6 separate regions of the Mus musculus genome follow, and regions 1, 2, 3, 4 and 6 are each reported to be linked to region 5. The links are microRNA targets in miRTarBase. Many come from high-throughput screens and were not tested one by one. Region 5 holds a microRNA gene; each other region holds the end of a gene's coding sequence. Distances are from middle to middle.

Region 1 (5,068 bases), not on the chromosome of region 5:
AAGTATTGTGAAGGACAGTCTGCGTGCACCCAGATGGCCTTCAGCTTATACTGCTCACCCCGGTCAGACAGACCACCTCTCTTAGGAGTGTGGTGGGCAGCAGCAGTACTCACCTCCTTGAGTGGTACAGCATGTGCCACTGCCATAGCTTCCTCCACTGGAGAGGCAACAGAGGTTACCCCTAGGGTTTGTCTGGTTTTGAACAGGATACTAACGTAGCGTGTCAGTGTTTAGTTGATAGAAAGCAAAGCCTCTGACGCTGTTTCGTTAAGTACTGCTGCTGTGATGCTGACTCAGACTGCAAAGGACAAGAACCCAGTGCCCACAGGGTGATGGTGATGAGCTTCCCTCGGTAGTGTCCTAGCTCATCTAAGGCTTGTTTTATTTGCTTTTTTTTTTACAGACCTAACTACCGTAATGAATGCTGCATATTGAGAGACACCACAAGAAGGTTAACTGTTTGATTGTCTAATTCTTGGATTTGGATTTGATATGAACCAACGGTCTTTGTTGTCATTGACAGAGCCCCAGTATGTGTGTGCATTAGTCACATTCCTCTCTGTTCTGTTGAAGGAAAAAGAGACATTTTAACCCTTTTAAGGTTGACTTTATTTTATGTTATTTGGTTGCATGAAGTTGCCCTTAATCACTAAGAATGATGAAGATTTTGCAGACTTCTCTGTGTCTAGGCTCCTTTTCCAAGTCATCAGCTTCCTGCCTCTCTCCCACCATCATCAGATACTCAGCTAAACAGTAATTCATATTGTTAGGTGACTGCTCAACATAATACTTCAGGATGGGATTTTCTTTGTAGCAGAACCCAAGAACCAACTCCTAGATACATACTGTTGGTGTATTGGAGATGAAGTTAGAGTCATCTTTCAGTTTTAAGGCCATGTGTAAAGTTTAACCATATGTACAATACCTATTCTGTATTAGAAATAGCTAGTTGAAACTTAATACTTCTCAAAACTCATGTTCCTGTGTCCACAAACTAAGTTTATATGTGAACTTACTGAGTCTTTTTGTGTCATACCAAAATAAAGCAAGGACTTATTTTTTTTCCCAAAGCCAATACAATTTGAGCCAATCCCTCAAGATGGTCACTTTACACTGAAAGCTGAGCTCAGCAGGAGCACTGTGGGAAACAAAGCATTGACTCTTGAGTACAGAGTTTAAAATAGACTTTTCTTTTAGAACTAGAATTAGAGTAGTTAACGTTCATCCGCCAACCATTGTTACGTGTGCATTACTGTCGCTCTTGTGGTGATAGAGTCTTATTTATTTTTATGCCAGCTTATACTGTGAGAACTCATTAGTCAGTTTGGGTCTCATCAACCCTGCTATGCTTGTCCTTGGAAGATCTTTTGTGTGTGTTTGAGGTTTGTAGCTGAGAAGTTTACTGTAAAAAAAAAAAATCAAAAACAAAAAAATGTATTGTTTTTACAGAATAAATTTATTGGAATGTGTACTGGGAGTAAGGTTTGAGGTTATAAACAGCCGAGTTAGTGTTATTTGGCTTCATATGTGTAATGTGAAGTATTAATGTGTTTCTTGTATTATAGCAAAGATTGACAGCAAATTGACATTAGAATTAAGTGCAGGTGAAAATTTTATTTTTTCTATCATGTTTCTTTTTAAGTATTCTGGATGTTAGGTTAAGTGAAAGCCGTGGGGGGACAGGAGGGAGCAACAGCAGGAGCTGCAGCAGCAGGGGCTGTCTGCACGTCTGCGACAGCCCAGCTCAGGGGACCCTGCATTTACACACAGCCTTCCGTGCATCCAGTTTGCTTTTGGTGTTCTTACTGTGTTGAAGAACTAATGAACGTGAAGAGAAAATAGAAGAAGACCTAAGAGCCCAGTGTCGTTGTGAAGATGGAGGTGATGTGGGGCTCTGGATGCACTGGTCTACTCACCCCTCCCTCCAGGACATCACTGTCCTTTGGGCTTGCTCCTGCCGGTTAGCAATCAGTGGTCCCCTGTTGTGCTCACGCAGTTCCATGTATGGAAAATTCATTAAGAGACAGGCTGTTAAGTCAGGGTTTTTTCTTTAAAAGGTACTTTTTAATTTTAAATATTTTAGTTTAAAATAATGAAATTTGACAAAAGATCTCTTCATTATCATGCAAAACATATGGAGAATGTAGATAGCATTTTTAAATTGGAACATATAACAAAGGTTTTTTTGTTTGTTTGTTTGTTTGAGGCAGGGTTTCTCTGTGTAGCCCTGATTATCCTGGAACTCACTCTGTAGACCAGGCTAGCCTGGAACTCAAAAGATCAGCCTGTCTCTGAATCCCAAGTGCAAGGATTAAAGGCGTGTGCTACCACTACCTGGCACAGATTTCTTAAATAAAAAGTTCAAAATTTGTCATGAAAATGTATATATAAAATGCTTCAAAATTAATAAAGTTTATCTTCATAAACACCAAAAATAATTTTATTGAAGGTATACACAGTATTGAAGGTATACACAGAAACACAAGAGAAATATTATCAACCAATAAAACAAGTGTTCATTAAGGCAACTAATAAAGTTGATTTGTGTCATCTTAGCTATTCAAATTCACAATAGAAGTTTTGACAGCAATTTTTAAAATGGCAATAAATAATATGCTTTCCTTGTGAAAACACTTGAATCAATTTAAAAATATTGTGATGATCTGGCATTTATATTAAGATTGTCAACAACTCATACATTTCATATGAAGCCATTTCTCCAACCTGCAATTGCTGTTTTGAATTATTTCTTATGCATAGTATGGTTAGTTACTTCTGAATAGTTTCATTTTTATGCTTTTTGTAGGCACTAGAGTTGTAATTTTCACACATACTATGTGCAAACAATGCTAAAATCAATGGTCACATTCATAGACAAATGGTGATATATTTCCTTAAAAAAGCTGTTTCTCAACTTTAATTTTCTTTCAAAACTGAGAATATACCCAGATACTACCCTTAGTTTCACTCACATGTATGCTGCAGAACAAGTGTGTTCTTGTGAGTATTCCTGTATGGAGGGGATAAAGGAGAGCGCCAGTCCCATTAACAGGTCAGAGAGAACTGTGAGGTATGTTTGTTTATTCCAACTTCTCATCTGCCTTAGTTCTTAGGAAGAACTCGGGATTGTAGGTACAACGGTAGGCCAAGAGCTGAGGAAGAACTCCATATGCTATGTTTAGTGCTAGAAAAAAGATTTTCGCTTCTTCGGGGACTCTGTAGACATAAGCAGTTCTAGCATGAAGGGACGCACCAATGTGAGAAAACTGAGCCTGTTTATATTAAAACAAAACAAAAAAACAGTAAGGATGAGCTCTGTTCACTTGGATTAATGATGAATTCTGAGTGTCTCATTCAGACCATGTGCCCTCAAAACCTGTCTTAAAGGCAAAATACCTTTAGGTAATCCAGTCTTAATATATAATCTTTCACTAAATTTAAGGTTGTTCTTGATATAAGTATTCAAATAATGTATCCTTCTTAAAGTGTGATTTTATTATTCCAGTTGTGTATTTTTAACCTATCCTGTGCCAAATAACAAACAATACTGGCTCAATTCAACAACAACAACAACAAAATCTCCCCCTCTTTCTAATTTGAATCTTAGGAACACTAACTATATAGACACTCAGCAAGGTCTCACAAATTGGGTTTGAATTACAAATGAAGTTGGGTTTTAACATTTAAGCTGTAATTAGTATGAGGAGCTACTTTAGAGAGAAGCACTAAGGGTCTCAGACCAACCACTGGATGCCAGAGCTCAGAGACCATCACATGTACTGCTTATTCATCCGTGTGTTTGGTTTTATGTAACTTAATAGCACTATGATTGTTTGTAAGGTAAGCTTGTTAATAGCTTGGCTGTGGATAGCAATATGATTATAAAATGGCAAATATATACACAGGCAGCCTTTCCAAATCAGACTGAAATCTACTTAGAATTGTGACTGGTCAGCATGTTTGAAGTTTCAGAACAGAACAGCAAGGGCTCCCTCTGTTTACATGGGATAGTTTATAAACTATTCAGAATGTGCCAGTTGAATTTTGCTTGGCTCATTTGTTTTTTGTACTTTTCATAAGCACAGAGAAAAACTATTAGAAAAGTAATACAGGCCATAGCAGAATTGAAAACCGACAGAGTATTTTTCTCAGAAAACTTGTTATTATAAAATGCAAACCCCAAGTCTGCACTTTTATGTTTGCCTGAAATTCAAGATACACAGAAATAAAGACTAAAGATTTAAATGTAGTTAAATGGCAGATTATCAGTATACTATGATCAAAGTGAGACGATAAAGGATCCTGCAATCTAAAGAGACAGAAGTAACAGTGAATCACTAGAGAGTGTGTTCTTAATGTATTGTTACCTTATATGTCCTTCCATATGATCAATTGAGAGTGCTAAGTGCTAACAGATAAAAGTGCTACTTGGCATTTGATGTGACCTTGGCAAAGAAAAGAGCATGTTTAGGAATTTGTATAAATGGCAGATATTTTAATGGGCTACAATTTATAAATTACTGATATATTCCGGATACTTTTACTACTCTGGAAATAAAAATTAAATTCCTGATGTGTGTTGACAAGGACCAACAAGTGGCTTACCCACACTGTGATTCTCCTCGGGCACTGAGAAGGTTCTGCCCGCAGACACACTCCCTAGGGCACAAAGCCAAAGGCCCAGCAAATGAGTGCATCTCAAGGCTACACAGACAGAGTCCTTGAGAATAAAGGGCACTTTGGAAGCTGCCCAGAAGAGACACTGCTGTGAACAGTCTGGGGACTCTGGCAGAAGCCTTGACTCCTGACACTTGTTCTCTGGGCCCTGCTTTAGCTGTTTTTTTGAACATACAACAATTTTCTTCTGGACTAGAGGCCAGTTTTGAACCCTGGTTTTGTCAGACTTGTGGGTTTAGTGATTCTATCCTTAGAGATTATTGTGCTCATCATAAAATGACAGAAAAATACTACCCACAATTCCCAAGAATAAGTAACATGAGCAGCTGGGTGTACCTATATAGGTAAACCTGTATGAAAGGTCAGTGATTGTGTGGGCCCTTCTCTGCAC
Region 2 (5,073 bases), not on the chromosome of region 5:
GGATCAAACTCACGTCATCAGACCTGGGGGCAGGTGCTTTTATCTACAGACCCACCTCTCACGGCTTCATCTTGCTTTTGAAGCAGGGTCCCTCATTGTCCTGAGGCTTACCTGAGTAGATGAGGCTGGGGGGCCAGCAGGCCTCGGGGATCCACCTCCCCATTGCTGAGACTTCCTCTGGGTACCATTACGGCCAGCGGGGCTTTTTTGTTTTAACACGGGTTCTTGTTTTTTTACCAACTGAGCCATGTTTTCAGTGAGCGCCACGGTCCTACTTGTGTCCTGAGCAGTGTCTAGAATGATGCCTTCAACCCGACAGGGCATGCTGGGAAGACATTGAGCCTGCGGTCTTGGCTATGCTACCTCTCATGGAGTAGGGAACCCTCCCTCCTGTAGTTTCTGAATGAAGTGGCTTGGGAGGACTTGGTTAAAAGATGTCAGGCACCAGGGCTCTGCTCCTTGACATAGAGGGGGGAGGCGGTTTACTCTGGAAATTGAGGGTCTTCATTGCCCACTGGCCCCTCGGCGTCCTACTCCAGGACTTGAGGAAGACCAGCAGCGGCAGCCAGAAAGTGTAGGACTGAAGAAGGAAACAGAGGACAAGGACGAAGCCAAGGCCTGTGCTGGTGCTACCTCGACAGCGGACCCCAGATGCCCTGCCCTGTGGCACAGAACACTATAAGCTCTGGGGTCTGAAAACTGTCACAAGCCCCAAAAAGACATCTGAAAAGATGTTTCGGACAATGGTAACCCCAGCACCTGAAGGATGGAGGCAGGAGCCTGGGCCACACTGGAATTCTTAGCTGCCTTGGGCTCGGGGTAGTGCACATCTTAATTTCAGCACTGGGAGGCAGAGGTTGGTGGGTCTGTGAGTTTGGGCCCAGCCTAATCGACAAGTTCGGGCCAGCCAGGGTAACAAAGTAACACCCTGTCTAAAGACGATTAACAAAACGCATGAGAAGAGCTGGAAGGCAGAGCTGAGGGGGTTCTGGAAGATGACAAAAGAAAATAAGGTTGCGGAGGAGGGGCAGGCAATGGTGAGTATAGGCGGCCCCAAACTTGACTCACAAGCCAGAGGGAAGAAAGCAGAGGCAGGTGTGCTCTTAGACATTTCCCAGGACCAAGTCGGGTAGAGAAAGACCCCCAGGGGGCCAGCACAGGACAGGGCAAGCAAAGTTCAAGGTCACTATGTAGGTGGAGCCCTTGGAGAGCTGCAGAGGGGGCTGGTAGGTAAGTGGGCTGAGGATTTGGGGACAACATAGCCCCAAGATGGCTGTTTTACAGCCATCTTTTCTCTTTTGCTTTTTCAAGATAGGTTTCCTCTGTGTAGCCCTGGATACCCTGGAACTTGCTCTGTAGACCAGGCTTGCCTCCAACTCACAGAGATCAGCCTGCCTCTGCCTCCCAAGTGCACCACTACCACCACCAGTTACAGGGATCTGGATGGTGTGACTCTCAAGCAGATTGAATCCAGGAGTCTGGGGACAGCTGGCTGTACCAGGAGAGGTGTCCAGAGGTAAAAAAAGGGTGGGGCAGAGGACAAGGTGACCTGACCAAGGGAAGCTAGGTCCCACTTAGCCATAGACCTCTCATCTTGAGTAACAAAATATCCACTCTGTCTAAACTGCACAATGAAGGTGTGTACTACCAAGGAGAGGGACATAGGTAGCCAGTCCCAAGCTACCAGAAGTAAAGCAATGCAGCCACCTGTGATCTGTGTGGGTGCATCCCTACAGCCTCCTCTATAGCCTCCTAGACTTTCTAGAAAGCCACCTGAGCAGCTAGGAGACTGGCCCTGATGCCTTTCCCACAGCCCAGACTGCCCGCCCCTCCGATCTAAGCAGCCACAAGGCTGTGGGCTCACCACTCACCTTTAGTCTTTGTCCCTGGGCTCAGGCAGGCTCAGAGCTGCACTGGGGCCATGGCACCCCCCCCCCAACACACACACAAGGTGGTATGGGTACATCTCCCCTGCCCCAACCCAAGGCTGTGCAGATGAAGAGGCCATTTTGGGTTCCTTCTCATGCAAAGGTGGGTTTTTTTGTTGTTGTTTTTGCTTTTTCTTTTTTAAAATAATGTGTATGTAGGTACTTGTAGAGGCCAGAGAAGGGTGTCCAGTCTCCTAGGGCCAGATTTAGGATGGCCATAAGCCACCTTATGTGAATGCTGGGAGGTCATGGTCAATTTGTTTACTTTAGGGAGAAAACTGGATGCCTGAGGCTCTTCAGGGTTTGTTTTGTTTTAGAGACAGAATCTCTCTATGTAGCTCTTAATGTTCTTGGACTCATTATGTAGACCAGTCTAGCTTCAAGCTCTAAGAGATCCACCTGCCTCTGCCTCCCCAGTACTGATTTGCTCCTGTGTTTGAGACAGACTCCGTCAGTTGACAGACTAGCTGCCAAGGTGTGACAACACATCCCTGGGTTCTAGCCTCTGCGCTGAAGGAGGTCAGCAGCTCGTGTGCTTAGAGCCAGTTTTATTTTAAAGCACATTTTAAAAATTCCCTAGTTAATTAAGGGAAAGTTAAGGGGTCTTAGGGCATCATCTACCCAGGTGACACTAGGAGTTGTACCCAGATGCCTAGGTCCCCTCACAGGCACACAACAGCTCCTGGAAAAGCAAGGCAGGTCACCCAGGAAGAAGAGGGCTGCAGGAGGGTGAGAACTGTGGACGGGTTACTTTATTTCATATAAAATCACACTGAGGAATTGAAAAGTCAAGTATACTCAGCTTGGGTTCACCGCACAGACTCCACACTGGAGGGTGAGACCGCCAGAGCCTACATGCCCAGACACGTGTGCAAAGGAACGCAGAGACAATCTGAGGCCTCGATGTCCCTCTGCAGGGACTTGGGCCCCAGAGATTGCTCGCTGCATGAGGGCTCGGCTCAGGTCCCTGGGGGTCACCTCAGTAGCACAGGAGCCCAGATGAGGGCAGGGCACAAGCAACTGACACCGAAAGAACAGTCATGGTGTCCCAGGGACAGAAAGGCAGCTGGTCCCAGAAGGGAAACACTGGTGTCTGCATGGGAGAAGACTCTCAGGAAGTCCCCAGACTCTGTCAGACTGCTCTCACCCAGCAGCAAAGCAACAACCAGCGGTTAAGGCAAATCCCCTGAGGGGAGCTGTTTGTGTACTGACGGGATTCTAAGCCCGCACCAAGGCTCCACTGACTGCGGTGCCATGGGTAGAGAAATAGTCACATATCACCACTCTGACAGCTCAGGCACCAGGCTGTCTCACCCTGCAGCACCTGCCCCAAGGGGCCCTAGGTGGCTTCTCACGCTGAGCTCCTCATGGCCCCTGCCCCAAAGCGCTGGGCCTCAGCATGGGCTACCACTCTCCCTGTTGAGAGACTGTTGCAGTTGCAGTTTGGCTGGAACAACAAAACCTCAGCTCCACGCCCTCAAACACTAAATTTTCAGTGAAATAAAAGCAGGAGGCCGGGCCCATGCACAGGCATGCCTGTTCTTTGGATCTGGACACTGTAGGATACATTCATAGTAGGCCAGCAAGGGCCAGCAGTGCGTCCCACTTCCCTGAAACACTGGAGTCTGAAAGACAGCTTGTCTACCACATACGTGCCTCAACGACACTGCTGACTCTGACACATGCTCACACACACACACACACACACACCACACAGACACACAAGGATGAGCACACACAGACTTGCTGGAAGGGTCAAAGGATGCCCGTTCCGGGGCAGCAGGGAGTGTTCTGGAAGCTGCTTTCACTGTTCAGTGCTGGGTGTCAGAGGCCTCCAAGGCAGAGTCTCTGTGGAACCCCTTCTTTCGGGTAAGGGGGTGCGCTGGGGATGGGCCAGCAGGACTCCCAGCGCTGCTGTGCTGGCTTTCTTCATGACTGAGAAGCAACTCCACCCGTGGGTGCCCACGCGACATCCCAAGGGTCAGGATGGTGAGACGATGGCCTCCCGGGACTGCATGCTTCTCCTGGCAGTACACAAGAGAAATGACAAGTGCCTGTGGCCTGTGGTCCATGAAGCCGCTCATGGCCCCGTCAGCTGGCCCGCTCCATCTGCCCACAAGGCTGCTGTGCACGCAGGCCACTGAGCACGGATGTCTGCAGACATTCCCACCCTGAAGGCTCAGACAGAGAACTCGGGGCCTCCTTTCCTGGTCCTCATCTGCAGCCGCCTGAGTCGGAAGCCAACGAAGGGGTTCATCCAGAGGAGGGAGGGAGGGCCCCCGAAGACAGACTTCATTCCTTCCCACCGCAGCCTGCGCTCCCACGTGGGCTTCTCGCTCTTCAGCCTCTCGATCTCCTGGGAGCAGAAGAAGCCAGAGCAGCAATGAGAAGAGATCCACAGTCAGCCTGTGGCTGCACTCGGCTACACACGGCGTGCTGCACTGTGGCTGCACACGGCTACACATGTGTGCTGCAAACAGTCAGCCTGTGGCCCAGGGGGAGGGGGGGGCCACCATCCGCATGGGTCAGCCTCCACGCCAACCTGGCATGGCTCTTGTGGCCCAGTGGCCTCTTGGGGGGGGGGACGGGGACCGACGCTGCGTCCCTACTCATCTGCAGTTAGGCAACGCCTACTCCAGGCCTGCAAGAGTGGGTACACCTTCACGGTTCTGAGACCCACTGAGTTCTGACCAGGAGCCTGCCTACTTTACCAACTTAAACCAATCCTGGGCCCAGGAACTATGCTGCCCCAATGGAGAGAGCAGCATACACAGGCCTGTGGGCCCAAGGTCTGAGGTACCACAAGTCCACATGGGCTGCTGCCGCTGACAGTGCCCCTGCCGCCCCCTGAAGACACAGGACAACTCACTGTTTCATCATTGCATATCGAGTGGATCTGGGTGCCGAACATGACTGCGGTGAAGGTGAAGAACAGGAGGCCCTCAAGGCACAGGAAGACCAACAGGATTACAGTTATGGGAGGAGAGAAGTCGCTGCACTCTGCGGACAGACGGGAGGGAGGCACTCAGTGTGCAACCGCCCTACTCTGCAGGGACCGCACACAGTTCCTAGGAGTGAGTTCCTCCTGCTGAAGAAGTTGGTACACAGCCCTGCCTGGCACACAGCCTCCCCATCCCTGCCAGCT
Region 3 (5,073 bases), not on the chromosome of region 5:
CTTGGGAGCAGCAAGAAGCCACAATACACCACCAGAAGTTGTTTTTTGTTTTGTTTTGTTTTGGTGCATTTCTCTCTATAGATTCCGGACAAATAGAGCTACACAACGTAAGATGGACTAACGCATGCGTGTTGTTAGCAAAGAATCCTTCATCACATGCTTGCCTTAGCAGAACATCCTTTTCTCCTGTGTCTGCTTCAGCTAAATATTCCTTCACGTGTCTGCCTTAGCAAACACCTTCCCGCACCACTGACTTTCCAACGAGCCCTTAAGTTTCCACCTCTGCTGACTTCACTTTCTATGAAGGAGATGCTCCAAACCTCTACCCGACACAGCCCAGAAGCATATTCAAATGTCCTTAGTTTGAAGATGGTGGTCAAGGAGTGTGTTTTCATAGGACATCAGCAATATGGACAATGTCAGCTTGGGGTAAGGCAGGTAGAGTACCCCTTGGCTGGAGTGACAGGAACCAGACTAAACTTGCTATGACTGGAATAATTTTGCACATATAATTTAAAGGATCAGTTAATGTTTCATGTGTGCCTTATGTACACAGCCTGGTGGTAACTTGATGTGATAATTTTAACTCACTTCATTCTAACGTCTGTTCACTGGAGGCCAGGCATCGAGTTCTCTCTCTCTCTCTCTCTCTCTCTGTGTGTGTGTGTGTGTGTGTGTGTGTGACGTATTATGCGGATGTTCATCAAGCTCAAATTCTGGGTTTTAGTATTTCAGATTAGGGATGATCACTGCATAACATGAATACATCTTTGAAGAACAAGTCAATATTATGCTTTTTAAAAGAATAATTTATGTATTTTATGTTTATGTGTATGTGCCTGAGTGTGTGTATGCACTACGTGCATGCAGTGCCCATGGAGGCCAGTAGAGGGCGTCAGATCCCTCAGAACTGGAGTTGCCAGAGGCTGTGATCTCCCAGTTGTGAGTGCTAGGAATTGAACTCAGGTCCTCCGCAATAGCAGTATGGACTATTAACTGTCTTTCCAGCCCCAATATTATGCTATTAAAAGAAGCATTTGGTAGTATTAAGGCTATAAAACCACTTTTACGAAACCCACAAGAGAATATCCATTTCCGTGGAAATGAAGTCCTTTGAGGGTTTTAACGCTGCACACAAGGACCTGACTCCAGATGTGACTGTGTGTTTGGCTCCATCCAGAGGGATGTCACAGACACAATGTGCACATGCCCTGGGCAAAATCACTTTGAAAGAAGGAAGAGGCTTGGGTAAGCTCACATCACTATTCTGCCTTGCTCTATCAACACACATCTCACGACAAGTAGCTCAAGGGGCTTTGCAAATTCCTGTATCTCTTCTGCCTCCTCCAATTCCATCAAGACAGAGAAGACAGAGAAAGCGAGAAAGACCATTGGTAGCTAACAGAGAGAGAAGGAACGTTGGCAAACCACTCGGCTGTGCCTGGGAGGCTGAGAGTTGGCCTTGGGTTCCACATTAGATTCTCAGGGGTAAGCGACAGAGACAGCTGTGAAGGCCAATGTGAAGAAGCAGTGCAGGACCTCAGGAGGCCAAGGAGGAGGATTTCGAGTTCAAGGCCAGCTTGGGGTGCATAACAAAACCTTGTGGTGGTGGGGCACACCTTTAATCTCAGCACTCTGGAGGCAGAGGCAGGGGATCTACAGAGTGAGTTCCAGGACAGCCAGGGCTATACAAGCCCTGTCTCAAAAACAAAAACAAAAAACAAACAAACAAAAAAACCTTTGTCTCAGAATAAAATAAAATATTTTTAAAAGTGTGTGTGTGTGTGTGTGTGAGAGAGAGAGAGAGAGAGAGACAGACAGACAGACAGACAGACAGACAGAGACAGAGAGAGATGGGGGGTATTTCCAATTTCCATACCATGTTCTCAGCAGCAATATTAACAGTAAACAAGAGTCTGCAGCAAGCCAAGGTCTGTTTTATCATAGCAACAGTAAGGTAACTAATACAAAGACTTCTTTCCCATTTGCATCCTGCACCCCCCACCCCTTGCCACTCGTGTGTGTGTGTGTGTGTGTGTGTGTGCGCGCGCGCGCCTGCGCATGCTCATGTGTGTGAGTCTGCGCATGCTCATGTCTGTGCGTCTGCGCATGCTCATGTGTGTGCCGTAGGAATACATTCAGACAGGAAGGTAGGAGAGATACACCTGAACCGGAGCTCAGCTGTAGAGGTGTTCCAACGCTTGTTACATGACTAACCACCACTTACCTAAATAAAAAACAATATTAGCTGAATGTTTGCCATCAAGCATATATTATGCTTTTACATGAGTAGGCTAAGAGTAACCAAATGTCTGTTACCTCCTTGGAGCTGAGTGTTTGGATTCACCCAAATCACATCCACCTTCCAACGGCTCAAACTCCAGCTTAAAGGGGAGGACATGGCTGGAGAGATAGCTCAGCGGTTAAGAGCACTGACTGTTATTCCAGAGGTCCTGAGTTCAATTCCCAGCATCCACATGGCGACTCACAACCATCTGTAATGGGATCCAATGCCCTCTTCTGGTGCGTCTGAAGACAATGACTGTACTCAAATACATTAGAGAGAGAGAGAGAGAGAGAGAGAGAGAGAGAGAGAGAGAGAGAGAGAAGAGAGAGGACATTATCACAAAAGCTAATTACAGGATCACATAGGTAGGCTGTCTGTGCAGAGACAACCTAATGATATAGACAAGAAGATCTCACAGGTTGCCACGGAGGCAGCTATTCCTGATGGGCATGGAGACAGAGACTGAGGCAGAAGAGGGGGCTGGGAAATGCCCAGACACATCCAGGACCATCCAGGCGGTTTTGGCTAGAGAGAAAACATTATGCAGCTAGTGTCTAGAGGGTGAAAGAAGCAAAGAGGCAGAGGGGTGGAAGCTGGATCAATGGAGAGACCTGGTGCTTACAAGACACCATACCATACCACATGCCAAGTCAATGCTTAGGGGGACGGAACTTGCAGCAGCTAAGAGACACAGTAGGGCAGCATTCTCAACCTGTGGATCGTGACTCCCTAGCCATTGCACATCAGGTTATTTACATTGCGATTCATAACAGTAGCAAACTTACAGTTATGAAGTAGCAATGTAATAATTTCGTGGTTGGGGGTCACCACAGCATGAGGAACTGTATTAAAGGGTCGCAGCATTAGGAAGGTTGAGAACCTCTGACTTAGATGGCAAAGAGGCTAGCTAAAGAATCAGGCGAAGCCGGGCATGGTGGCACACACCGGGATCCCAGCACTCGGGAGGTGGGAACACGAGGACCAGAAGGTCCAGGTCATCCTCGGCTACACAGTCAACCTGAGGCCAGCCTGGGACACATGAGACCCTGTCATAGGACAAAACAAAGAAATAAAGGACAGAACTCAGTGGTGTCCAGCGTACAAAGGGACAAAGCAAGGCGAGTTTATAAACCTGTGGGCTGGAGCTTGCTCAGTTTCAAAAGATCAGAAGCGAATGAGGAGGGAATGGGAGAACCGATCAGATGTGGTGCCCGCGGTCCTCAGCCTGGTCGGCTCAGGATGCTTTAACACTTTGGTGAAGAGCTGACCTTCGTCGGGTGTGATGACGTTAACCCCAAGACTTGAGGCAGAGGCAGGAAGATCTCGGGTTTGAGGCTAGCCTGAGCAATATAACTAGATCCTGTCTCAAAACCAAACAACACCAAGCATCCCCCAAGAATGCACCTGCTCAAGAGAAACAAAAACAAACAAACAAACAAACAAACAGAAAAACAGGAAATCTCACATACAGATGAGGCCATGAGCTTATAGTTCACGCAAAGGAACAAGAACCAACATTTCTACAGTAGAAAGTTTATTTCCATCCATAAAATATATCACTAAATAGATGAAAAAGTTACATAGTATTTTAAAACATAGATTTTTAAAAATCATATTTAGCTTTCCCTTAGCAAAAAACGGGTTTGGTTTGTTTCACGTATTTACAAGAATATACTATATTTCAGATACATGGCTTTCCCCTCAAGCCTGGGGGGCCTGGAAAGGCCCCCCAGGGTAGGCGGGCTCACCAACAAGTCTCATTATTGGCTCTCCCACCTGTGCGAGGAGAGGTTTGATTTTATAGAAGTCACTTTGGAGTAATGGCAGACAGCATCTAGAGAAAAGTCCAGCGAAGCAACGGCCTGTAGGGCGCTTCCTCAGAGGCGAGGCTAATCTTGGCTCTGTGGTCTACAGCCTGCTAGGGTGGCGGGGTCCAAGGCCTCCTCGCTAACTTCTTTCTCCGTGAATCTTCACCTGGGCCTGTGGCGATGGCGGCTCTGAGCCTGCCTCTCTGCTGAGGGGCCGCCTGTTTTGGTAGATGGATGGATGTTCTGGGACGTTGCCACCCATGTTCTGATACATCTGGAAAGGGGGAGAAGCAGCAAGAATGACCAGCTGAGCAGGACTCGCCCGTGTGCCTAGAAAGCACAGTACTTAAATACACCTTACTTTTATACAGATCATGAAATATGAGTTTAGGGGCTGGAGAGATGGCTCAGTGGTTAGAACACCTGCTGCTCTTGAAGAGGACCTGAGTTTGGTTCTAAGAGCCCATGTGAGGTGGCTCACGATTGCTTGTAACTCCAGCCCCAGGGGATTCAACACCCTCTTCTGATTTCTGAGGGTCCCTGTATACACTACTACATGTAATTGAAAAGTAAAATAATCTTAAAAATATAAAACTATGAATTTGGGTAGTTTCCAGGCTTGTTTTGAAGTTTTATTTACTTTATGTGCGCAAGTGTGCACCTGTCAGTATTTGAATGCAGTGCCTGCAGTGGCCAGAAGAGGGCGCTGGAGCTCCTGGAATAGGAGGTATAGGTGACTGTGAGCTACCCTGTTTACTGGGAAGTGAACCCTGATCCTCTGCAAGAGCAGCCAGTGGTCTAACTACTGAGCCATCTGTCCAGTCCCCTCCATGGGTTTTGTTTTATTCTGAAACAGCAGCCACTCATTTTTTTTAAGACTAAATCTATTTATTTATTTATTTTTATTTATTTATTTGTTTATTTATTTATTAATTATATGTAAGTACACTGTAGCTGTCTTCAGACACTCCAGAAGAG
Region 4 (5,072 bases), 32 Mb from region 5:
CTAATATCCACTTATCAGTGAGTGCATATCTAATGACTTCTTTTGTAAATAAAGAAAAATCTAATAAAAAAAGAATTAAAAAAAAAAAGATGGGAAAGAGGTAGGAAAGGGGGCAGGCAAGGCAGTGTACACTCAGCAGAGCCGAGTGGGCAGCTCTGATGCATGCTGCTCTCTCCATCTTTACACACTTGTTTTTTACTTTGAATTACTGATAATGTAACTTTAAAATGTACACTACTCACAAAATCAAACTACGAAGATAACCTACAGGAAATAAAGTCTATGTAAGACTTCTTAAATGACTATGTCACGGAGACTGACAACCAGCCAACACTCCAATACCAGTTTAATAATTTTTCACATTTCTTATCAGACTTTCTAGAAAGCAGTGTTCAGCTGAAATAGAACCCTTTGTGTGCTCAATTTCATGAAATAATTCTATATTCTTATGCTCTGAATGGAGACCGATGTTCCCATCTTGTATAAAGTCCTGGGTTACTCAGAAAATTATGCCGTTTTTTCCATCTTATGCTGGAAAAATCTTTAGTATGGTTAGAATTATCTTCAAGTTTCACAGCAAATTGTAAAGGCTTATACATAATATAAGCCTTTTATATGGAGTCTGTAACTCCAAAAAGCTATACTTTATTACTCAACTATCAAGTAGTTCAAATGAAATTTGAGGCTGGGCATCCTTGAGCTGTGGGATGCATTCTGTCATGGCACTCTACTGTTAAAAAGTAGCATTTAGGTGATTTTAAAACATTAACAAACATTTCTTTGCAACAGTAAGAAAGACAGTGGGACGATCTGGAGTGTTGATAACTACAGGCAAACCTGGCAAGGTAGGAATACTGGCACTTAACATTTTTTTGCTTAACACAGAGTGCCACAGCTGGGACAGCCTACCCTTCCTGCATCAGCTTCCTGAGTACTGGGTGTAACTTTATGGACTCCATTTTACTTTTAGACTTAGGAAAATTGTCCTTCCTCTGAAACTATACATCTGGTAGTTTAAACAGATACATATGAACTAATTATGCCAATTAACATAGTTTCTTATCCTAACCTTAAAAACCTCAATATTGCTAATAAAATTTTTACCGATTTCATAGAACTCTGTTACCTTCTTCCTGGCAAAGGTCTTAGTGGATTTCATACAAAGAAATAGGTGTCCAACATAAAATGTAATCAATATGAATCAATCCCCTTCTTATGTAGGTGATTTGAAATACATTGTCAAAAGCAAATCTTGTTTATTAAAAGAAAGTTTTTCTCTCAATTATAAAAATTCAATTTATTTGTTTCTAAATTCCCAAGAGAAAGCTTTTACTAACAAAGCAGCTGAACACTGAAAATGCTGTAAGGTTAGCTAGTGTGAGAGACTGCGGCAGTGAGCATAACAACATAAAGCAACAGGACTTTTACCTCATGTTCTTTTGATAGAGTGCTATTCTAATCTAATGCACTGAACTTTAAGAATTCTAGATGTCAAACTTCCCACTTCAATATCTTGATACTTTTAAAATAAGACCATATTGATGGAAATTATTAAAAGAGGGTAAAGCCAGCCACACCCTGGATGGGCAGGAGGTGGGGAGGGACCTTGCTCTCTGTCATTAGAGAGCGATCTGGAACTCCTCCCAGTGTCTTAATGTAGCCTAGAACCTTGTTTTTCCTTTTAAGCAAGTGTAACCTACAAATAACTACCTGAAACAAAGAGCAACATCTATTTTCAAGTATTGGAGCCTCCATGCAATCCCAAAGAAAACCACACACAGTTCTGTCCCAATGCTGGTTGTAAACTAACAGAATTAAGGCATAGCTGATCTTCCTGTACCTGGTCACAATACTGCAACATCACTTTAAAAACAAACAAACAAACAAACAAACAAGAGCAACACTCAAATTCTTAACTCTGAAACGGAACCATTCCTACTTACTGTACTTCTTGGAGTTGAGTAGACTCTTGTGAAAAGAACAATACTTTTAAACATGATTCTTCATTTTTATAAAATGACCCTAATGTCCAGTGTGTGACTTTGAGGTATACATGTATTAACACCAAAGTTAATTGATACCAGTATTTGTATATATAAAGTTACCAAAAAAAAAAGAAAATAGCTTGATGACAGCATCAGTATAAAGAGTGAGGAGGACAGCACCTGCGGTTTAAAAGCCTGCATGTATATACCCTATGGCACTCAAATAGAAGCCAATGCCATAGTCCTTTCTTTCCAGTAACAGCAGAACCCTTTGTTAAAACTCAGTAGTAGTCTAAAATTAGTAGGAAATCTAGAGCAGACACAAAGATGAAAGATGAAACTGCAGCAAGAGAGCATGGCAAATCCAAAAGACCTATTAGTGCATAAATCTACGGGAAAACAACAACAACAACAAAAGAGATAGAGAGAATTAACAAGCTACAATAGAAGTTATGTCTTTAAAGCAGATTATAAACAGGGTGGGAAATGTTTAATATGTGTCCTCCTGAAAAAGCAGTTACCGACTTTTGCATTAAAAAAAGGAACAGCTGGTGCATTTTCACAGCATCTGGATTTATTTATGGTATAAAGCCATAGGATTGTGATAGTATTACTCCTTTCCCACCCTGGCAGAGTAAACATGAACTCAGAAGCACAGTGGAGTGAAAACAAAGGAGAGAGAGAAAAGGCAGCAGAGAAAGACAGAAAAGGTGAATACAGAGCTACAGAAGTGTTTATTGAGCATGCTACAGAGGTAAGCAGAGTACACACAAAGTGAAATTAAACAACCATCAAACCTCCCAACTTTGTTAGAAAATTAATTTTTAATTGTGCCGCTTTCAAACTATACTGAATTTTACATTTCTAAAGATGTAAAAACTCAACTAATAGAAAATATACATGACCATTCTGTCTACATAGATAACAGAATCTATGAATCTTGAAACTAAGTACATCAATTTCAAAAAGTATTGGTCATTTAACAGAATCAACAATTCAGATTGACAAGAACTGTTCAAATAAATTTGACCTGTAGATTCTGAGCCATGTTTTTATTAAAGTCAGATCTATTCCTAAATACAAAATATTTTGAAGATTTATTAAAACTGAATATTACAATGCAAGGTAAATTAAGACTAAAGGCACATAAACTTTGGTCCCACCTGGTTGTCAGTTTTAGAAAACTGCCACAAAATTAATCTTCCTGCAAGTTTTCGCAGTACACTTTCTTTGTCTTTGAAAAATACATGCACCAGTTCCTGAACTAGCTAGACCAGTCTGCACATGCTCAGAAATCCACAACCATTTTCCAAATCTTAATTACAAACTAAGGATGGCAATATATATTTAAATGCACGTAAGTCATGTCAACTTCAAAAACATCTACGAAAAATATTCAGCCACAAACAAGACATTACTTAGTGCTGACATTTATATGACACGTCCCACAAGAGTGTGTACAAAAAGGTTAAGGTTCCACAATGCTTTCCACATAGGGCTCAAACTTACAGAAATCACTTGTCTTAAGAAATTAATACTCTGCATCTTGTTAATTTTAACTAATGCCTACATTCATAACTGAATCTAGACCAGATTTGTGAGATACAAAAGGCCAATGTTTTCAAAAGCAATAAAGCCTAAGATAGTAAAAACTAAAAATGCTGTTTTATACTCTCAGTATCAAGTATCTTATTAGATTAAATAGAAAGAAATGTGATAAGCCAATAATTCAAAGAAAGTTCCAAGCAGGAGAAATAAAAACTTAACCTTTTGACACACCCCTGCCCAAACATATTTTAATTCCCACATAACGATGTGCCCTAAACAACCAATTCCTTTTTCCTAGTAAATGCAGAATAGCAACACTAGTTTTCCTTTGTAAGGCACGTATGTCAACTAAGTTGGAAAAAAAAAAAAAAGCAAAATTAAACTAAAAATTTAAACAGACAAAAATGGCTTCCCTATTGAACAGATGAAACACAGCAGTTAGCAACTCTGCCTTTACATATGCCATTTCATTTTATAACCAAGGAATGATAACAGCATGAAAAAAATCAAACTCTGGTCCCCACTTTTCTGAACAGTCAATAGGTGATGACACCAACAATGGGATCTGCCCGCCATCTTCATCTCCCGTGCTTAGATTGTTGACTTGGAGAAAGACACTCTCAGATGATGGTTTTCTCCAAGGTTATAATTATGAAGATCAATCAAAGCCTGAATAGCTTCCTCCACTGTTGCCATCTGAAGAAGAGCCATTTTGTGATCTCTTCTGAAACAAAATTATGAAATTAGATACTTCATAAGAAGAGTTTAAACACTGATTTTCACCCATTTGAGGTAAATAAATAGATATATTTGAAAAAAAAATTTAAGTTCTATCAAGTCACACATTTTAAGACAAAGAAGCTTGCTTACTGAAAAAACTTAAATGCTTTCACAGTGCCCCCGGTGTTGGCAAACAGAGTTCGCAGATCCTCTTCTGCTACAGAAGGGCTAGAAAAAGAAGACAGGGAGAGTCCAGATGAATACAGATAACCATAGACCTGCTTGGCTGATAATATGACTGTGCTCAGTCATGAGCTGAAATAGATACTCACGGGATGTTAGACAGGTGAAGGGTAGCAGAAGGAGGGAAAATGTTCTGAAAGTTTTTGGATCCCGGTTTTTTAAAACGGTGCAGTGGTGAATTCCCAAAATCTTTTGTTAGCCCTTGATCATCAAGTCCCTCTCGAGGTAGTTGCACAGTCTGATGTTTAGAGAGAGTAACACGAATAATTTTTCCATACATCTTCTGCCCATTAAGATGATTCATGGCTAGGAAAATAAAGAATACCTATTAAAATATCAAAAGTTTAGGATAAAAATACTTCTAATTTGGAAATTCTGAATTTTCTTACAACTTAAAAATCATGAATTTATTACCATTTTTTATTTCTACTAGACAAAGTATTGCACCAAAAAACTTCCTTCATTGAACAAGAACAATGTCTACAAGCATCTACTATAAGAATCCTGATGATGAACTGGATTTTAATGGCCACAAGAAAAATATAGTTGTCATCCCTCCTTCCTGCTGCTCGGCTT
Region 5 (5,073 bases):
AATAAAAGAAAGAAAAGAAAAAAAGAAAAGAGAGGGAGATTCAAAATAAATAAATAAATAGACAGATAAATAAATAAATAAGTAAATAAATAAATAAATTCTGGCTAAACCTGGTCCTGAGAATGCCCCAAGACATGGAGAGATAAGGCTATTTGCTTGCTATCATCCTTCTGGTAGGGAAACATCTTGTGGGTTTTATCTCATCTCAAGCTGGCCCCACCCACAGCCATGCAGCCAGCATTAATAGCAATGAACATTCAGACATACTCCGTTTTGGGTGAGAAGCACTAAGTTAAACCTATTAGCCACCACCTTCCATCTAAGCAAGATAAGCAGTCCACAGGTCTGGCTTTGTTTTGGGCTATTCATGGGACTAGCAGATAGACAGACCCAATGGTTAAAGTGATAGTCCCCTAAATGGACTGCTGGTGACTCCGTGTTTAGGGGTCCCTGGTTACAGGAACTGGCTGGTTTAATCTGACCAGCAGGATTTAGGCATCTCAGCCAGTTTTATAGAAGGGACCCAGCAGAGGATAAGTAGGAGGATGAAGGGACCGCTCACTGGCACACAGAGCAGCTCCTGGGGCCCATGGTTGCTCTGAGAATTTCGATGTACCTAGAACCCAGATGTTGCCCAACAGCAACTGGCTACTCCCCGGTGCTTTTCTGCTTCTGCTTCTTTGGTGGAGAAAAGGACCTTTCTGGCTGGACTGGATTGAGAGCCAGGTGGAGGAAGTTGAGGACGGGGACAGAGCTTTGCCTGAAAGGCATCTTCCTTGGGGAACCGAACCCAGAGCTGGCACTGCATGCCTGGGAGCCTGGAGGAACATGGGTAGAGGGAAAGACCTATTAAAGGTCTCCAGGACTTGGCCAAATTCTGAGTCTCAAAAGCAGCTAGGATTCTGTGGTTATCTGCAGATAGGGTCAAGGAACATTCCCCTGAAATGCAGAAAAGAGGGCCCCCTTTGCTCGCCCATTGTCTCATAGCAGGAGACTCAAACTGCACAGTCTTCCCTTCAGTGAGGGTTTGAGTTGAAAACCTTGAACAAAAGAGACCCTTGCCTCTCCTAAATATTAGGATCACAGTTTGGGAGGAATTAGAACTCAAAAAGACTCTAACGGTGGGGTGAGGTGGGAGGGGGTCAGAGATAGAGTCTCCAGTCCGCATCCCTGCCTCAACCTCCTGGTGCTGAGATTACAGATCTCTTCTCTTTGAGGGAATTTTGCCCTATTTATTTTCTATTTTTGCGTGCTGGTCTTGGTGCAATGTACCGTAGAGCCCAAAAGGAAAATGTAAGATCGACAAGAAGAGCGAAGGTGGCCATCAGAACCGCAATTGGCAATGGATTATAGACGTGGCAGGCGGGTTGTAGATGAGGCAGCAAAAGACTAAGGATTGGCATAAAGACATTGGATCCCATTCTCTGGGGGAGGGGCACCCCAATTGCACGTCTTGGACTGGCCTGGGGAGGGAGGGGGTCGGGCATGGAAAGGCTGGGGGGGAGGGGGGGAAGAAACGAGACAGTGACGTCAGACCAGGTATAGCCAATCAGGGGCTGACCTGAGGAAGGAGTGTGAAGGGATGAATGAAAAGTCCGGAGCCTGAGAGCGCCCCCGCCAGAGCAGCGGCCAAGGCTGAGGAGAGAGCTGGGACTCGAGACCCTGCTCCACCCTGCTGGCTCTCGCTCGGCCCCATTACCTGGCAAGCCCCGGCATCCTTGACCCACGTCCGTGGCGCTGCCTGGGTAGGAACGCGCCTGAAGACCGCGCAGGACACTACCACTGGGCATCCTGGGTTTGATGTAAGTGGCCTGACCCGCGTGGGGCACGAGGTGGGGAAAGCGCCTCAGAGTCCAGCGCGCGCGTCCGCCACCTGCGACCACGGAGCTCTACACCCTCTGCACGGTCCCTGGACCTCCTTCCAGTGGGTTCAGTCCAGATAGCCCCCTCCAGCCACTAAGGGCATCTCTCACTCAGACCCCCAGTGGCATATTTCACATCTCTGAATGATTTCGGCTGCGTTTTGCACAAAACCGGCTCCCGCGCGGTTCCGTAGGTCCAGGGCTCGGAGCACCTGCCTGGTCACCCTTTGCCCTAACCCGCAGCCCCACGTCCTGACTGCTCGCCCGATTCTCTCTGGGTGGGGTCTTTGCCCTTGGGAGAGTCGCTGGGGAGTCTCTAGATCACCCTCCACCCCGCCGCCAGCCACAGGCTTCCCTCTGGGCCTCGGGGTTCCCCAGTGCTGGGGTTCCCGTCCGGGGCTTCGCGGCCGCTCCCCTGCAGTCGGTAGCTCGGAGCAGCTCTGCGAGCTCGGCTCTGCCGCACCCCGCGGAGCTCACACTCGACCTTCCAGAGAAGGGTGTGGACACCGTGGGAGGTTGGGGAGGCCTCGGCCTAGGCTTCTGCGGTCTTCCCGGATGGCACGAAGGCCCTGGAGCCTTTCCACTAGCACCGGCGGAACCCTGCTTCTGCACGGAGGAGGGAGTGGGAAATGGGCGGTCAGGCTTGGGGCCGCTTGGTTTCAGCCTAGATTCCCGACCTCAGAACCGTCGGCGGTAGCATCTTTTCCTCGCCTTTCTGAGGTCTCGTCGTGATAGTGCGTGAGGTCCTGGATCCCATCTTTTCGCCTCCACACCACGCGCGTCCCCCATCCGCCGTCGAGCGACTCGAGACTACGGAGGTCCAGGCGGTGGCCGGGAGGCTGCGTGGAAGAGGAGGAGGCGGCCAGGAGGCGGGGTTGGTTGTTATCTTTGGTTATCTAGCTGTATGAGTGGTGTGGAGTCTTCATAAAGCTAGATAACCGAAAGTAAAAATAACCCCATACACTGCGCAGAGGGCCTGGAACGCTGGTAGTGGCCGAGCTGCAGGAGGGAGAGCCGTGCCAGGCGTGCCTGGAGGCTGGAGGGCTGGGGGGAGGGGGACTCGTCGCCTTCAAAGGTTGCTCAGCCCGAGCCACCTCGCGATCCCCACCCGCAACCTGCTCACCTGGGAAGAAAGCAAGAAGCCGCTCTGGGGTCGCCTCTGGAGGCCTGGTCAAAATGGAGCAGTCTGGGCCTCAGTCCGGAGAAGCCGCTCCCGGGAGAGACAGAGCCCTTGGCTGAAGGGTTGGGGGGAAAGTGCAAGCATCCCTCTCCCGGTCTCGACGCATCCCGGGAGCGGGTGGCTGGTGTGAGCAGCTTCCCTCTGGCTCTTCGAAGCGACTGGTGGAGTTCGAGGTTCGTAGGATGTCTCTAGAAAGCTGGTTTTTGCTTTGGTGGTTTCCCTGAAGCCCTTCAGCTTTACTGGGAGTCAAGATTGCCCAGGTGGGAACAGGTCTAGGAGCGGGGAAGGCTTAAAAACCAACACACACATCGAACTTATTAGGGAGAATGGCGATGCAGAAACAAAGTAACCACAAGGGCAAGGGCCAGAGTGGCCAGAGACCTTTTTACCCCACAGGAATTCTGGGACCCTGGGGCGCAGGTTCTTTGCTTTCACTTTGGCCTTCAGGACCAGAGCTAAGTCTAACTGAACTCTCTCTGGCTGCTTTGTCATTAGTGGCTAAAGGTGTAGAGTTGGGGTGGGGGGCTTTAGAGCATCCCACCTTTCGGTCCTAACCTCACTCTTGGAAATCGTGTCCCAAAGGAACAAATGGCCTCAAGGAGCTCTGTGGAGCTCAAACACAAAGGAATGTGTAGCTGTGCTGCCCAGAGAACGCAAAGAATTAGAGAGATTAATTTGGGCTCCTGTAAAAAGAATCTATTTATCTTGCCTGACCTAAATATTTTAGTGAAAGAGGGTTTCTACAGCTGAGAAGATGGTCTAACAAACATGGCCAGAGCTAGGAATCCCCTCTGCTCTCATGGCCCTCAGCCGAACTTGACCAGCTGGCACTTGGAGACCTGGGCTGTACCGACTAATAAGAGGCAGAAAACTGGGCAAAATGTCATCACCCAGACTCCGCTGGTTCTTATAAATTTAAAATTTCCTCCCGGGACCTGATTTTACAGTTAGAAGATAATGATTCAATTTTGTATTACATGGGGGGAAATATTAGAGAATCCAAATTCAAATTCTGGGACTTCAGGGAATCTATTGCCTGTGTGTGTCTTCTTTAGCAGTTAGGGGAGGGAGAGTCGAGTGGCCTCTTAAATTCCAGAAGCTTGGAATTTGTTTTGTTTTGGTAGGGGTGGTGGGGATGAAGCTTAAGTCAAGGAGAAAAGAGGCTGGGTCTAGGCTGGAACTAATGGTCTGGCCACAGCCTGTTTTCTTTTTCCGCTGCTTGAGAGATGCCATGTGATCCCATGTTACACAGGCACAAGTGAGCAGCTGACATTACTCACTGGCTTGACACTCAAAGCTCCTTCCATTTACTCTGTCTTGGAGAAAGTGACACTCCCCACCCCAAGGGAGCCAACTGGGAAAGTAGAAAGAAGGGAAGCCTCTCTGTTATTGGGAATTTGCATGGGCAGAGGAGGGGCATCAATAAAATAAGCTTCCTTATCATTACCATCTTTAATGTTTCCTGTATAGTGTCTTCACTGTAAATTCCAGGACAGCCAGGGCTACACAGCCCTCTATCATAGCACAGGCCTATAATCTGAGCAGTTGCAAAGTAGAGGACGAAGGATCAAGAATTCAAAGTCATCCTTGTCTACACAGCAAGTTCTTGGGCATCCTAGAGTCCCCCTAAACACACACACACACACACACACACACACACACACACACACACACACACACCACATATTCCCAGGAACACTTAGAGTCTCAGTTGCTAACCACAGTAGTTTTATATTATTGTTTCCCATGAGCACATTGGATCACAGGCTCTTCAAAAGAGAGTAGAAGGCTTTAGGAAAAGGAGGAATAGAGGCTAGGAGGTTAGGCTGCTAAGGGTTCATGTCTTCTTTAGATGCACACTGACTGTGTATGTGTACGGTACTCAGCAGGGCAGCAGGTGCCCTTTGTGAAGTCCATGTGCCTAAGGGTGAAGAGAGGGAGGCAGCCTGTGTGGATTGGTATAAGGATGTGTGCTGTGCTAGGAAACTCAGCTGGGACACTGGGGATGCTAGAATGTGGCCAGGCAAAACC
Region 6 (5,073 bases), not on the chromosome of region 5:
CTAGAAAGAGCCTAGAAAGTCTGGGGAGAGTTTCCACTTGATAAGCTGGGGCTGGGGCAGAGAGGAGACCCTAGTGGCACAAGAGTGTGACTTGGAATGATGATTCTGATACTCAGGAAGGAGATGCTCACAGGGACCTTTGGAGATAGAGCAGATACTGGAGACCTGTCCTCTGAAAGAGGCAGTGCACCTTAGACTAAAAGCTGTCTACTGCTTATGGGACTAGAAGCCCATTGGGGTGGCGTGGGAGGGGAAATAAGTCCTAATTGAGCTCCTTCTCCACAGGACATCAATGAAATGGCGCGTACTGAACGGCCCGACTGGCAGAACGTCATGCTGTATGTTACAGCCATCTACAAGTACTTTGAAACCTGAGCACACAGGAGCGGCTGATACCAGCTAGGGACCTCTGCAGTCACCAAGTGACACCAACACCATTAGCTAGAACTCCTAAAGCTTTCAGTGACTCTGGGTCTCCCTGCAGGGAGTGTGCCCAGCTCTAGGCCTCTGCATTGGAACTGGAACTGCAGGCCAGGGCTCTTCCGCATGGCCGTCCTCAGGAGCAGAAGTACAGCACACCGCCAGCCTACTTCCAGAGACCGTCCGGCTCCACCAGGGCCCTGGAGTGCAAACAGCATAAAGGCTGTGCCCGGCCGGGCTTATCTTGGGAAATGGGATTAAGTTGTGGGAACCATGGGTTAGTGAAAGCTTTAGCCATCCAACTTCTTGACTATTATCCACGTGATTCCCAGTGGTGGGACAGAGCTGGCTTTGGTCCCTTCATGTGGGCCTGGGTTCTAGGAGTGTGTCAGAGGAAAGTGTCAGTACCCGTTCCATGGAGAGGACCGTCCTAACCACTGCACTTAGCTTAGGAGTGTTAAAACCCTGCTTATAGGCCCACAGCTCGTTGAGTCTACACTGCCACCAAGTAGGTTTTTGTCAGCAGCAAGACGCAGGTGGCACACTCAGTGGGTGCTCAGCCACTTGCCTGTAACACCAGGGAAAAGACTGGTCACAAGGAGTTCTCCTCATTGAAGTTGTTGTTTTATTATAAGCAATATTGGTGAAATAGCTCCTGTTAGTACCAAAGTTAATCGTTTCAGTAAGCATAGAACTAAAACACAGACTGGGCATTAGCATGTGAGAGGGAGGGTTCGTGCAGTAGGGAAAGGGGGGTGCTTTAGGGAGCCAGAGATTCAAGTTGTACTGGTGGCTGCCCCTCCAGGGCAGGAGTTAAGACAGTGCCTTAGCCCTGCACCAGGACAGCTGAGCCTACACCCACATGAGGATCCTGTGTGCTGATTGGGACTCCAGGAGAAGTGGCTCTACGCTGTGCCTGGGCTGTGGGGCCTATATCACGAGCCAAGGCCTTACCCGGTTTGTTGATTTCTGGCTGGAATTTAGCAGCCTCTTTTCGAGAATAGGAAGCCCTTATTTCATGTGCCTGACACAGAAGCTGTTGTTTGAACAATGTCAAGACCTGTTGCTCCGGGATACACTTGTTTGTCACCTGCAAGGCACCATGTGGAAGACTGGCCATCAATAAAAATGGGGCCACAGCTTCAGTAACAAGATGGATGGTGGGAATGTCTCCCAGGAGGCATGCCAGGCCAAACATGGACTGAGTGAGGTTCTGTATTCAAGCATAATGCTACAGACTAGGAATCTGTTGTATCTATGGAACGTAGAGAAGGAAGCAATTTGAAAGTAGTTATTGGGAAGTGGGCCGTGTCTGTTTGTGTTGCCATCAGATGGCCAGTCCCACCCCTCCACCCTGCTTAAATGTCCCAATCTGGCAGCTTATGCTGCAGAGTGTACCAGGAGACCCTATTATTCTGTCTGCCCAGTGCCTCTCTGGCCCTCCTTGGCCCAGTTCTGTTCTTGTTCTTGTTCTGCTGATGAACTCCGTTGGGGTGACCATTGTGTGAAAATGACTGTTTCCAAATGAGTCTCCACTGAACTCCTCTGAGCTTCCAGCCTCTGCTGTATTTGCCTTCACTGAGGCCTTCCACTGTGCACCAAGGTGGTGGATCTGAGGCCAGGTTTTATTTATTATCATGAAAAGGGGTTGTCTTGTTAGAGACTTTCCTGGGCTTGCAGTTCACACCTTCTGTCCCCTGCTGGCTATGTGATCCTCATGGCAGTGTGGAAGTTGCCCGAGTTTTCTGAAAGGATTTGGAGTAAGTCAGCTGCTGCTGAACGAGTATGTCCATGTAGAGGTAACATTCTGTTTTGGAATCTGTGGGCCTGGGCTAGGCCTGGAGCCAGTGCAGGGACAGACAGATGGTGGGCTAGACCCTCTCACATGCACACACAGACTGGGTGTCTCACAGCCAGGGCCAGGCTGCCCACATTTGTGTGAGGGTCCACAGTCAAGTGCTGTCTTCAGACCACTGCTTTTTGCCTTCTCTAATAGGCCACTAAAGAGCACTGTTGACCCTCTGGGCATGCTTGTAGATGGCCATGTGCTATTAAAAGTAGTATTTGGGAGTTCTTAGAGTGCCTGTCTACAATGCACGAAGCCCTGGGTTGATCCCTACCACCACATACACTGAGTGTGGTGCATACCTGTCATTCTAGTACTTGGGGAAACGGAGGCAGGAGGATCATGAGTTCAGTGTTACTGTTGATTACACGGTGAGTTTGATGTCAGCCCTGGCATGTGAGACCCTGTCCGCCAAAAGGTGATATTTGGAGGTTTTCTTGTTCTGGGGCTGTTTCCTGGGAAGCTCTAAGATGTAAGCTCGCCTCTTCCTAAAGCACAAGCTTCGCTACAAAAGGGCCAGCTACCTTTCTACTGTTGTCAGTCACAGGCTTCTGCCGATGAATGACACTTTGTCATTTTGTTCTAGTAAATACTCTTGAATGTAATAAACTGTCATGCGTCGATTTCCTAGTTTGTTCTCCCTCCCTGCTGTCTGTCTGACCTTACACAAACCAGAGCTCTCACCCTCCTGTGGAACTGGAATGGAAGGCATGGATGCACCTGCCTCAGGGTCACATGCTGTGTGGGCCCAGGCAGGTCTGGACAGAAGGAGAGGAAACGGGTGAGCCCAGAGGTTCCGGCCTGCCCTGAAACCACGTGGTAACTGTGGCAGTTCTCAAGATGCCATCTTAGAGCCAGCATGTCCCACAGCAGAGTCCCGGCAGAAGCAAAGCCTCCAGCAGAGCCTACACGTTTGATCAGGAGGGCCCAAGGATTTTTATTTTGTTTTCTTTTTATAAATGTTAACTTCTTAGAGTTGAGTTTCAAGGTGTATAAAATTACAGGGGTGGGGTTTCTACCAAGAGGCAGCTATATAAGTAATTTTCCCCTGTGCATCCTTTTGTTTTAGTGCTAGGGCTCAAACTCAGTAGGACCTTGCACATAACATACACGTACTGTGCTTCTGAGCCATACCCCAACTCACTGGTACTTCTTGTGTGCGGTGTTTTCAAATCCAGAGTGATCAGGCTAGATAATGCTGTCTTTCAGCTTTGCACGTATCACATGCAGAAAGAAGTCTGTGGGCTTACCACCTGCACTCCAGGCATCCATGATAAGCTGCCTGGGCCTGCTACTCTCTAGGACTTGGGGTCCTAGGGAGTCCAAAAGACTCCTGCTGGCCTGAGTTTGAATATGAATATGTTCTCAGAGTGCCCACAAGCCATGACCTCTAGAGAAGCCAACACTCCAAGTACCCAGGACAACCCGTGAGTAAAAGTAGCTGTGCTGAATTCTTGGAGCAGTCATGGCAGAGGCTGGACAGGGCGTGTTTCAGCCCTTCCTCAGTATCTGGACACTGGATTTGTGTCCTAAGCAAGACAGTGAGAACTTGATGCATGGTGAGAGGAGTGCTTGACCCTACCTGTTGCTCTCTGGTCTGTCCCTGAGACAGCATGGGCCCCCTCAGCCCTGCCCACTGCATGTCATATGCTGACCCCGAGGGGCTCCTGTGTAACCCGGTTTATCTGCTGAGAGTCCCACAGTGGTACTTCCTTATCAGAGACCTGTTAGTGCCTGTCCCAGCCAGTACCTTGATGAGGGGCTGGGAGCCGGGGTTCAGCACTTCTGTGAGAGACAGCTCTGTTAGAAAAGGAATATAGGTTCCTGGGAAGAAAGAGGTAACTAGAAAGTTCCTCAGACCCCTGGACCTATAGCCTCTGGGAATCAGGGCACCCAGCAGCCAGCTCTTGCTCTGTCCTGACAAGGGTAGCACTTCCCCAAGTCTCGGGCGGGGGGGGGGGTGTTGCTGAGGTGGGGGCTGTATTTGTATCCCTCCAGTGGGAAGTGGTCAGATGTGAATGGTCTCAGTGCGAGGCAGCCATGTGAGGGGGAGTCCCAGGCTGCTGTGACTCTGTTCTGGTAAAAGTCTGACAGCAGCAGGTTGGATCCCCCAGCAGGCCACGTGGGGATAGAGAGGAGGAGGCCACACTTCCAGGGGATGGATTGGCATGAGGGTGGATCAGAGGCGCTCGGTTTACACAAATCAGCCTGGGAGGACTGGTCTTTGTCACAAACATTCCTAGAGAGCGTCTACCTTGTCCTGTGTGAGGAGGGACAGCAGGGTCTCTGCCATTTGGGAGCTGAGTCCTATAAAGAGGGAGAACAAGATCTCAGGATGACTGCGAGTAGCTGTGCTCCGCATGCAGTTCTTGCATGGGCTGGACCCCCAAGGTCGTCCTCAAGGTGGACCCCAACATTTGGGATATGCTGGAACTGTTGTGACCTCTGCAGAACCCCACTGCCAGGCATCCTGTCATGTGGAGGAGGCGTACTGGGTCCCAGGACTGGGGGTATGGGGAGCACAAGGAGGAGTTCAAGACCATCCTTGGGGGTGGTAAGTGGCAAAGCCTTGTTAGGAGCTACGGAGTGCTGTCACATTCCATCATGGGGCCAAGCAAGACAGCTGCACACACCTCAGCTGTTTTTCTGTCTACAGTACCACATCAGATATAGCTCCAAGGCTGACTACTGGCCAGCTTCTCTCACTGGTAAGAGGTGTAGGATGGAGTTCCCATAAGGCTACAGGTTGGGAGGGCCTGCCCTCCTGTCTGCCGTGCCTTGGATTCGTGCATACAGCCCCTAGGAGC

What was found. Region 5 holds the annotated microRNA mmu-miR-9-5p (UCUUUGGUUAUCUAGCUGUAUGA, at 2,748-2,770, shown strand). A microRNA usually pairs through its seed, bases 2 to 8, with sites in the 3' UTR of a target mRNA and lowers its output. Matches are read on the target gene's strand: a 7mer-m8 pairs with bases 2 to 8, a 7mer-A1 pairs with bases 2 to 7 and ends in A, and an 8mer does both.
Region 1: the mRNA of Hdgfl3 is a reported target of mmu-miR-9-5p. The part of its 3' UTR that is shown has no 7-base or 8-base seed match.
Region 2: the mRNA of Zdhhc7 is a reported target of mmu-miR-9-5p. Seed matches in the 3' UTR shown: 7mer-A1 at 3,469-3,475.
Region 3: the mRNA of Flt3 is a reported target of mmu-miR-9-5p. The part of its 3' UTR that is shown has no 7-base or 8-base seed match.
Region 4: the mRNA of Ptbp2 is a reported target of mmu-miR-9-5p. Seed matches in the 3' UTR shown: 7mer-m8 at 3,137-3,143.
Region 6: the mRNA of Specc1l is a reported target of mmu-miR-9-5p. Seed matches in the 3' UTR shown: 7mer-m8 at 1,084-1,090.

Annotation. Positions count from the first base shown.
Region 1 is chr7:81,881,419-81,886,486 of GRCm38, reverse strand. Hdgfl3 (HDGF like 3) reads left to right here. Exons shown (of 6, transcript NM_013886.4): 6 at 404-5,068. The coding sequence ends at 409. It overlaps Tm6sf1 (transmembrane 6 superfamily member 1), which reads right to left. Exons shown (of 10, transcript NM_145375.4): 10 at 2,408-3,272. The coding sequence ends at 3,081. Among named protein-coding and RNA genes, the nearest start is that of Tm6sf1, 25 kb to the right of the region's middle.
Region 2 is chr8:120,078,433-120,083,505 of GRCm38, forward strand. It overlaps Zdhhc7 (zinc finger, DHHC domain containing 7), which reads right to left. Exons shown (of 8, transcript NM_133967.3): 7 at 4,798-4,928; 8 at 2,663-4,284. The coding sequence ends at 4,108. Among named protein-coding and RNA genes, the nearest start is that of Zdhhc7, 21 kb to the right of the region's middle.
Region 3 is chr5:147,326,937-147,332,009 of GRCm38, forward strand. Flt3 (FMS-like tyrosine kinase 3) reads right to left here. Exons shown (of 24, transcript NM_010229.2): 24 at 3,805-4,369. The coding sequence ends at 4,235. Among named protein-coding and RNA genes, the nearest start is that of Urad, 7.0 kb to the left of the region's middle.
Region 4 is chr3:119,716,204-119,721,275 of GRCm38, forward strand. It overlaps Ptbp2 (polypyrimidine tract binding protein 2), which reads right to left. Exons shown (of 14, transcript NM_001310711.1): 12 at 4,586-4,802; 13 at 4,404-4,481; 14 at 2,539-4,254. The coding sequence ends at 4,125. Among named protein-coding and RNA genes, the nearest start is that of Ptbp2, 65 kb to the right of the region's middle.
Region 5 is chr3:88,212,866-88,217,938 of GRCm38, forward strand. It overlaps Mir9-1 (microRNA 9-1), which reads left to right and starts at 2,733; the gene lies at 2,733-2,821. The region is part of intron 2 of Gm3764 (predicted gene 3764); the gene reads left to right. Mir3093 (microRNA 3093) reads left to right here and starts at 2,306; the gene lies at 2,306-2,392. It overlaps Gm25641 (predicted gene, 25641), which reads right to left and starts at 2,805; the gene lies at 2,748-2,805.
Region 6 is chr10:75,309,505-75,314,577 of GRCm38, forward strand. Specc1l (sperm antigen with calponin homology and coiled-coil domains 1-like) reads left to right here. Exons shown (of 16, transcript NM_153406.3): 16 at 286-2,896. The coding sequence ends at 375. Among named protein-coding and RNA genes, the nearest start is that of Adora2a, 4.8 kb to the right of the region's middle.